2 linked regions of the Canis lupus familiaris genome follow. The protein of the gene in region 2 interacts with the protein of the main gene of each other region in a pairwise test. Links are inferred from orthologs where the notes say so. Each region holds a gene or a part of one and is shown on either strand. Other genes may lie near its edges.

Evidence for each region.
Region 1: the proteins of EXOC5 (region 2) and RAB4B interact in binary tests that used the Homo sapiens proteins (3 or more experiments, as listed by UniProt). The two-hybrid records come from large-scale screens. The link is inferred for Canis lupus familiaris from reciprocal best matches to the Homo sapiens genes EXOC5 and RAB4B.

The regions. Positions count from the first base shown.
Region 1 is NC_049222.1:113,793,091-113,797,239, reverse strand, and holds the start of RAB4B (ras-related protein Rab-4B), read left to right. Parts: upstream 1-1,349; 5' UTR 1,350-1,459; coding exon 1,460-1,475; intron 1,476-2,665; coding exon 2,666-2,746; intron 2,747-2,990; coding exon 2,991-3,105; intron 3,106-4,149. Other genes in the region: MIA (melanoma-derived growth regulatory protein), read left to right, coding at 1-94, 425-448. UniProt on the Homo sapiens protein: The small GTPases Rab are key regulators of intracellular membrane trafficking, from the formation of transport vesicles to their fusion with membranes.
Region 2 is NC_049229.1:33,133,153-33,136,652, reverse strand, and holds part of EXOC5 (exocyst complex component 5), read left to right. Parts: intron 1-1,702; coding exon 1,703-1,797; intron 1,798-2,440; coding exon 2,441-2,588; intron 2,589-3,500. UniProt on the Homo sapiens protein: Component of the exocyst complex involved in the docking of exocytic vesicles with fusion sites on the plasma membrane.

The sequences.
Region 1 (4,149 bases), on a different chromosome or scaffold from region 2:
TGGAGATCTAGCTGCTCGCCTGGGCTATTTCCCCAGTAGTGTTGTACGTGAGGACCAGACCCTGAAACCTGGCAAAATCGATGTGAAGACAGATGTGAGTGTCTTGGGGGGCTGGCAGGGATCCGGAGGGAGGACCCTGAGGTTGTGATGATGGGCAAAGATGCTCCTGCCCTTGGCTCCCTGGCAGTGTAGCTGTGTGCACTGGGACAAATTCCCTGCCTCGGTTTTCTTATCTGTAAAATGGGGGAGTGATTTTTTTTTGAAGTCCCTGTTAGATTGAGAGGTGCAAAGATTGGAGGACTCTGGACTAATTTGCATAGCACATGTTTGGCCAAACCTGGCCCCTGCCACAACAAAAACCACTAGATCCTTTGTGGTGTGACCGCTGGTTTTCTCCCCACTGTTTACCCTTTCTCTTTTTCAGAAATGGGATTTCTACTGCCAGTGAGCTCAGCCTACCACTGTCCCTGCTGTTTTTTTTTTTTTTCCCTCCTTCTGGCTTTATGCAAATATATCAGCCAAGTGCAAAATGCAGGTCTCCGTGGTCTTTTTTTTGGGGGGGGGGGGGGGGCGGTGTAACAAAGGAAATGTTTCCCCAGGTTCCTGAATTTAGCCAGTCAACTCATTGACTCTCGTGACGTCAGTGGTTGCTAGGCAGACTTCCACTAAATGCTCTGCTCCGAGCTGGGTACCAGAGGTGGGCTAAACTTAGATACACAAGCAAATGAGAAGGCGGAATAGCCTGAACAGACCGGTTGCGTGTTTTTTAGTGTCCTCTCTAGACCAAGGGGAGGGAGTTGAACTGTTGGGAAGGAGCCAATAAGGCCACGAGGAAGACATAAATCACAGAATAACAGAATAAGAGGTTATCGTGGAAGACCATCTGCAAAGGGAAGGGGGAGGTTAGCCAGCGCGTACCCCCCACCCCTCCAGTTTTCGTCTTTCTTGTCTTTGAGGTCTGAGAAAGCGCTCCCCAGCTCGATACCCGCTCCTCTTCGGGTCTTTCTGTCAATCCTGTCCATGCCCCCTTCTTTGCAGCCGTGCCCCCGCCCCCAGGTCCGCTCCTACCCAATCCGGAGTCTCGACTCTGCACCCGTACTCCTGACCAAATCCGTTTCTCAGCGGGGCTAAAGCATCTCCGTACGGTCCCTTCCCACCTGCTCCGCCAATCGCTCGTCTTGGTCCCGCCCCCCTTGGCCCGTCCCCTCTCGCGCGGCCAATCCGCGCCCTTTGTCCCGCCTCCCGGCCGCCGAGTTCACCAATCCCTGCTCTCGGGAAGCGTGGCCTGGTATCCCGCAGCCCTAGCGGGTCGCGCTGTGGGGGGTGGAGGCGGAAGTGGCGGCGCCGGTCCCGGGAGTAGGAAGGAGCCGGGGCTGCAGCCGGAGTGGAGCGGCTGCCAGCCGAGGAGCAGGCGCGGCCGCGGCGCCATATTGCGGCCCCGAGCGGCCGCGACCGAGTCATGGCCGAGACCTACGGTGAGGGTGGTGGGCCGGAGTCAGGGTCTGGGGTCTGGGCCCAGGGAGGATGCGGCCTTTGGGGAGTGGGGCGGGGCCTTATGTGCCAGGGGGCGGGGTCTGGCATGGGGCAGGGCCTAGTGGCTGCTGGGAGGGGTTTAATGGGTACGAGGCTGGGCTTCATGGATTTGGGCGGAGCCTGAGGGTCTGGTGTGTGGGTTAAATAGATCTGGGGCGGGATTTGAGGGAGCCAGTCTTGATGGACTTGGGCAGGCCTTGAAGGAAAGGATGGTTCTTACTGTGTCGGGGCGGAGTCTGGATGGATGGGGTGGGGCTGACCGTGTGAATGGCAGGGCTTGGGGATGGTGGGCTGGGAGAACCCCGAGGGGTTGCTGTGGATCCTGGGATTGCTCTGGCTGGAGAGGGCTGCAGTGGGGTTGGGGATGCATCGTCCTTGAATTAGGTGGTGGGAGGGACTAGTGGCAAGGGGTGGGTGGGGCTTAAACTTGAGAGGGCCTCGGGCCGAGGAAGGGATGGAGGGACTGAGAATTGGAGAATCCGGATGGATGGATGAATAGGAGGTGGGAGGACAGGGTGCCGTAGAAACAGCACTGGTGTAAGAATCAGAAGGAGCTATATTCCTTCAACGAGTAGAGAAAAGCCGAGGGAACAAGTGCAAAGATCCTGAGGTGAGAACCAGCTTGCCATTTTCAGGTAATAGACTGAAGGCCCCAGGCTAGAATAGAGTGAATGAGAACGTGGTAGGAGGTGAGGTCGTGATGGGCAAGGGCAAGGCTGTCACCCTGGGTAACATGGATCTTGAGAGGCTTTAACAACATCATAGCTAAGCTTTTGAGCTCTGGAGCCAGTTGAGCTGGGTTCGAATCCCAGCTATGCCCAGCTATGGGGTCTTGGGTAGACCAGTTAACCTTTCTGGCCTCAGTTTCCTCATCTGGAAGATGGAGATACTTGTTGGTATACCTCCCTTGTAGTGTTTTTCTGAGGATTAAGTGAGCTTGCCGTAGTAAAGAGCTAGAACTGTGCCTGTTATGTGGTAAGCACTGTATATGAATTGTCTGTTGTTACTGTTGCTCTGTTTCTGCCTGTGTCTGTTTGTCCCCTTGTAACTGTGATGGTCTCTTGGTTTCCATCTTTTGCCCTGTATCATTCTCTCCATATGGGTTTCCCTGATTTTGGCTCCATCTGCTCAGACTTCCTCTTCAAATTCCTGGTGATTGGCAGTGCAGGAACTGGCAAATCATGTCTCCTTCATCAGTTCATTGAGAATAAGTGTGAGTTTCTGGGAGTGGTCCCGGGAGCACTGAACTGTGGGTGTGGGCATAGCGTGGGCAGGGGCAGGGCTGGCCGTAGGTACAATTTCAGTGCTGGCTGCCTGGCCCTCGCCTTTGCTAGATCCTCCTTGAGGATCTCAGTCACCCCAGCAATGAGAATGGTTTTGTATAGGCTGAGGAGGCTTGGGAGGACAGGGAAGCTTCTGAGCCCCTGCACTGCCTCTTCTCTCCTTCCCACTCCCAGTCAAACAGGACTCCAACCACACAATCGGCGTGGAGTTTGGATCTCGGGTAGTCAACGTGGGTGGGAAGACTGTGAAGCTCCAGATTTGGGACACAGCCGGCCAAGAGCGGTTTCGGTAGGTGGGCCGGGCTCCCAAGGGAGGGGGACAGAGGAAAGAGGAGACAAAATGAGATAAAGGGACAGAGAGAGAGGTGTGTGCAGTCACTTGGAGGTATGACGGAAGCACAGAGACAATGAGAGGGCAGGCGAGGCTGCGGGAGAAAGGCAGAGACTCAGTACGGGTGCCTATTATAGCCAGAGCTAGCAGGGGTCCTGGAGAGAGAGCAAGGATTGCAAGGGAGAATGAGGCTGAGAAAGAAGCATAATGAAAGGAGAGACCCACAGACCCTAGAGAGACTGCAGTAGATCGAGCCATAAGGCTGGAGAGATGGAGATTTGTGCCTGGGGAAAGGCGCTTGGGGTGGGGGCCAGGGGTAGAGGTGGAAAGAGAGAGATTGAAAGAGAAGGAAACTGCGAAAGAGATACACTCAGAATTAGACAGAGAAAGACAGAGACTGAGAAGAAGAGCAAGGGAAGGATGATAAAGAGACACAAAGAGAAATAGGTCCAAGCCGGAGACAGGGAGGGTGGGACAGGAGGAGCCAGAGAGGTGGAGAAATGGATGTTGTGTGGCGGGGGAGAGAGAATGGCGGAGGGCTCAGCATACAGTGTGTCTTCAAGAAATGGCTGCGGACAAGGTGGTTGGTGCACAGAAACCCTGAGTTTAAGAGACAGAGAGGAGGGACATGAGGGAATCGAGTCCATGGAGAAGTGTGGTCCCTAGCCAGCATGGCGTCGTAGCTGCTAAGTTAATATTGGTGATATTGTTGATATCACCATGTGAGAGAGACAGAGAGAAGGCGAAGGGTGAGTGGCTGGCGCTGGGTTTGTGCTAAGTGCTTAGTGAGTGCTTGTGGAATGGTTGAATTTGAGGAGGACCCAGACAGGTGACACGGAGATGCAGGCAGATGCAGCCACCCTGGGAAGAGGGCCTCCCCAAGATGCAGCAGGAGAGGGACAAGCCAGTGTAGTTGCAGAGCACTTGGCCAGGAATGGGCAAAGGGAAGAAGGCGAAATGAGGCATGAGTGAATGCATGAGAAACCAAGAGTGAAGAAGAGG
Region 2 (3,500 bases):
CTGTAATAGGTTAAGTTCTATCTTCTCTTTCCCTAATGGTCTAGAAAAATATTTGTTCCATTATTGCCTGGCTGATTTTTCTTCTTTCTTCTGGTCTCATAAGTGACCTAGCATAAGTGTTAGGTCCTCAGAAAGTTTGCCTGATGTAATGCCTGCTTCTTTGCAGTCTTTTATCTCTTACTGTCTTCCATTATCTCTGTTCCTGTTGTATAGTGTTAGATCTAAGACTTTTCCTTCCCTCATATTTATTACAATTGTAACTAATGTCTGTAATTGTTTAATGTTGGCATCCTTACATAGAAGACCGTTTCTCTGAGGCCTTGCAGGAACCCTGTCTGTTGACTTGACATCTATATTCTTAGTGCCTACCACTGTGCCCAGAACATAGCAGTTGCTCAGCAAAATTTGCCGAAAAAATACCCATTTCTATTGCACAGCTACCTGTAGAGGTAACATCTTAGCAGTGTTAATATTAAAATTTGCGTAAATTCTTAATTTTACTTATCAGATACAACTGCATTCTTTATAATTTTTCCTCTGTTAAGCTGTGAGTTTCTTGAGGTTGCAGTTTTCTAGTATATCTTTTTAATCCAGAGCCTATCAGAATGTTTGGCACTGGAAATTTTATTGTTCAGTGAATGTTTATCAATGAAAATATGTTTTTAAAATATGATTAACAAATGGAAAATTTTGCAGATAATAAGAATTCAAACTGGAATCACCACCATGCTACTAGTTTAAGTAACACACTAAGTGGGAGGCAATATTTGATAGCCATTTGCAGTAAAGAAGGTAATATGAAAAATACGTAAATTAGTGTGTGTATTCTAAAAAGTTCATTGTCAGCTAATGGTGAATATTTGGAAATTTAGTTTCTTGATTGGGTCTTCTAATAGTCTTTTTTTCATAATTAATGCTTTTTCCTGAGAAAATTTAGAAAACTGTGTCCTGCTTTTTTCATCAGTATTATATGGGAACATTTTTTCTCATTGCATTTAATTTTTTCAGTCTGATTTTAATAGGAACATAGTTTTTCATCCTTTAAGTTTGTCATAATTTTTCAATAATGGTTTTATTGAATATATAACCTATTTTTAGGTATTATATATAATACTCAGTGAACTTTCTGCAGAAATTGTTGTATTCATATCTGCTTTTTCCTTAGAATTTTAAAAGTAGAATTACTGAGTTAAAAGGTTTGAGCATTTCTAATACTGTTGATGTTACCAAATCATTATCTGTTGCCCTCCAAAAGTATTGTATCTGTTCATTTCTAACAAAAATGAGGGTGAAGAAAATTTCAGTTTACTCTCTTGTATTGCAAAGTATAATTACTAAAACCTTGTTAGTGTGTGAGGTTAAAAATAGTGATAATTTAACCTTATTTGATTACTAGTGAGGCCACATATATTTCATGTTTCTTGTATGTTTTCTATAAATTGTGTCCTTTGCTCATTTTTCCATTGAGATATTCTAACTAATCACAATATTGTTCTAATATTTTAATATCCTAATTTTAATTAATTTGTTTATTGATTTTTAAATTGAAAAAGCTTTGTACAATCTAATAATATCAGTGTATTTAAATGGTAATTTAATTCCATTGTAAGCTCTCACATAATAGAACATGTTTCATTTTTGCAAGTAGCATTAAGTTATCTTCTATGAAACATTTTAAAAGAACATTTATTTTGTAAACTAGGAGCCTTTTGTAGCAGATGAGTATATTGAACGACTTGTGTGGAGAACCCCAGGAGGAGGCTCTAGAGGGGGACCTGAAGCTTTTGATCCCAAAAGGTGAAGTAAAAAAAAAAAATTTTTCCCCGTAGATCCAGTCTAGTACAAATTTGTGTTTAGAATAGAGGTGACTATTGAAATTCCTTCCAAGGTTTGTGTAAAGGGATTTTAGTTAAATACTTGGCAAATAAAGACACAAGCACTGATTTATTTTCTCTTATATTTCTTTTATTTTAGAGAAGGACTTTAACTGGTGTGAGGGTAGGGATTATATATATAAGAATTTCATATTTTCTCCAATTTGTAATTAGAAAAGATTCTTATATCTCTAAAATAAATTCATGTTGAATATGTTGATTTAAGTGTAGTTGTAAATCAGAGGAACAGAAAGTCACTCTTCATGGAATGCACAATATTATTTTTATGTATTTTATAAAAATATTTTTGTACTTCATGTATATAGATATATTTTTATCTTTTTGACTATTTTCTATAGAATTGGTTTCTATTCTGGAAGGTAGTAGAGATCCTGGGTGAGGTTTTCAATCTTGTCAAAGATAATCCCTAGGATGCTATCAAGAAAATTAACATGATCACCCCTACTTCAAGGAATGCTTATTGATACTTTATTATAAGTGAACTGGCCAGCTCCTAATGATTAATCATAGATGGATTGATACATACTCTAATTTTCCTCTGTTAGGTTATTAGAAGAATTTGTAAATCATATTCAAGAACTCCAGATAATGGATGAAAGGATTCAAAGGAAAGTAGAGAAACTAGAGCAACAGTGTCAGAAAGAAGCCAAGGAATTTGCCAAGAAGGTACAAGAGCTCCAGAAAAGCAATCAGGTAAACATTTAAGCTGTGAATAATATATACAGGTTATAATATCTCTTTATTTCTTTCCACTTAATTGAGTTCTTTAAAAATTCTAGTCAAATAATAGTAACTGTTGAGGTTTCTTTCAAATGTTCCTATCCTTAGGGAAAAGCATCAGTGAATTGTTATCAAGCACTCTTAGCACTGACTTGCTGTTGATCCTTGATTTAGAATCATAGTACTCCCTTCTTAGGCTAAAGTAGTATGTAGTACAGTCACAGTGCAAACTTTGAAGAATGACCCTTTAGCAGATCTGCATTTTTAGGGGTTCATGATTAGCTTGGATATTTAAGTAGTGATTTGTATTCTCATTAAGCATAAAACAAAGTAATACCAGAACACCTATTACTTCAATCCAATTTTTCCCTAGTCTGGGAAGTTTTACAGAAGTCATGGAGTATATGCCCTCATGAGAATTGTGGTATAACTAGAGGAGAGTGGATACAGGACTCTTCTTCAATCCATTTTGGAGTAAAATCAAATTATCAGTATGGTTCTGGGGTAAGTAGGCCAAATTTCTTAGCTGTTCTTAAGTCCTAAACTGAATCTGGAACCTGTGAACCCATTTTACAGCCTGGGCCAGATCCTGGAACTTGATTGCCATTTATAAGTCTAGTTCATGGAGTGATGTTTAGCATTGCTGCCTCCCAGGGGCTGTTTTTCCTTAGTGTTAGGGATTAGCAAACTGATTTCTGCTCAAACGTTATTTGATTTCCTTCACTTAAGTATATATATGGCTGTGAGAAAATATTTAATAAAGTCAGTAATTTATGTAAGATAGAGAATGTGTTTTAAAGTAGTTAAAGTGATAGATTCCAAATACTTCAGTTTTCTCTTGGTAATATATAATAGTATAAATAGTTAATCTATCAGGTTTGGAGA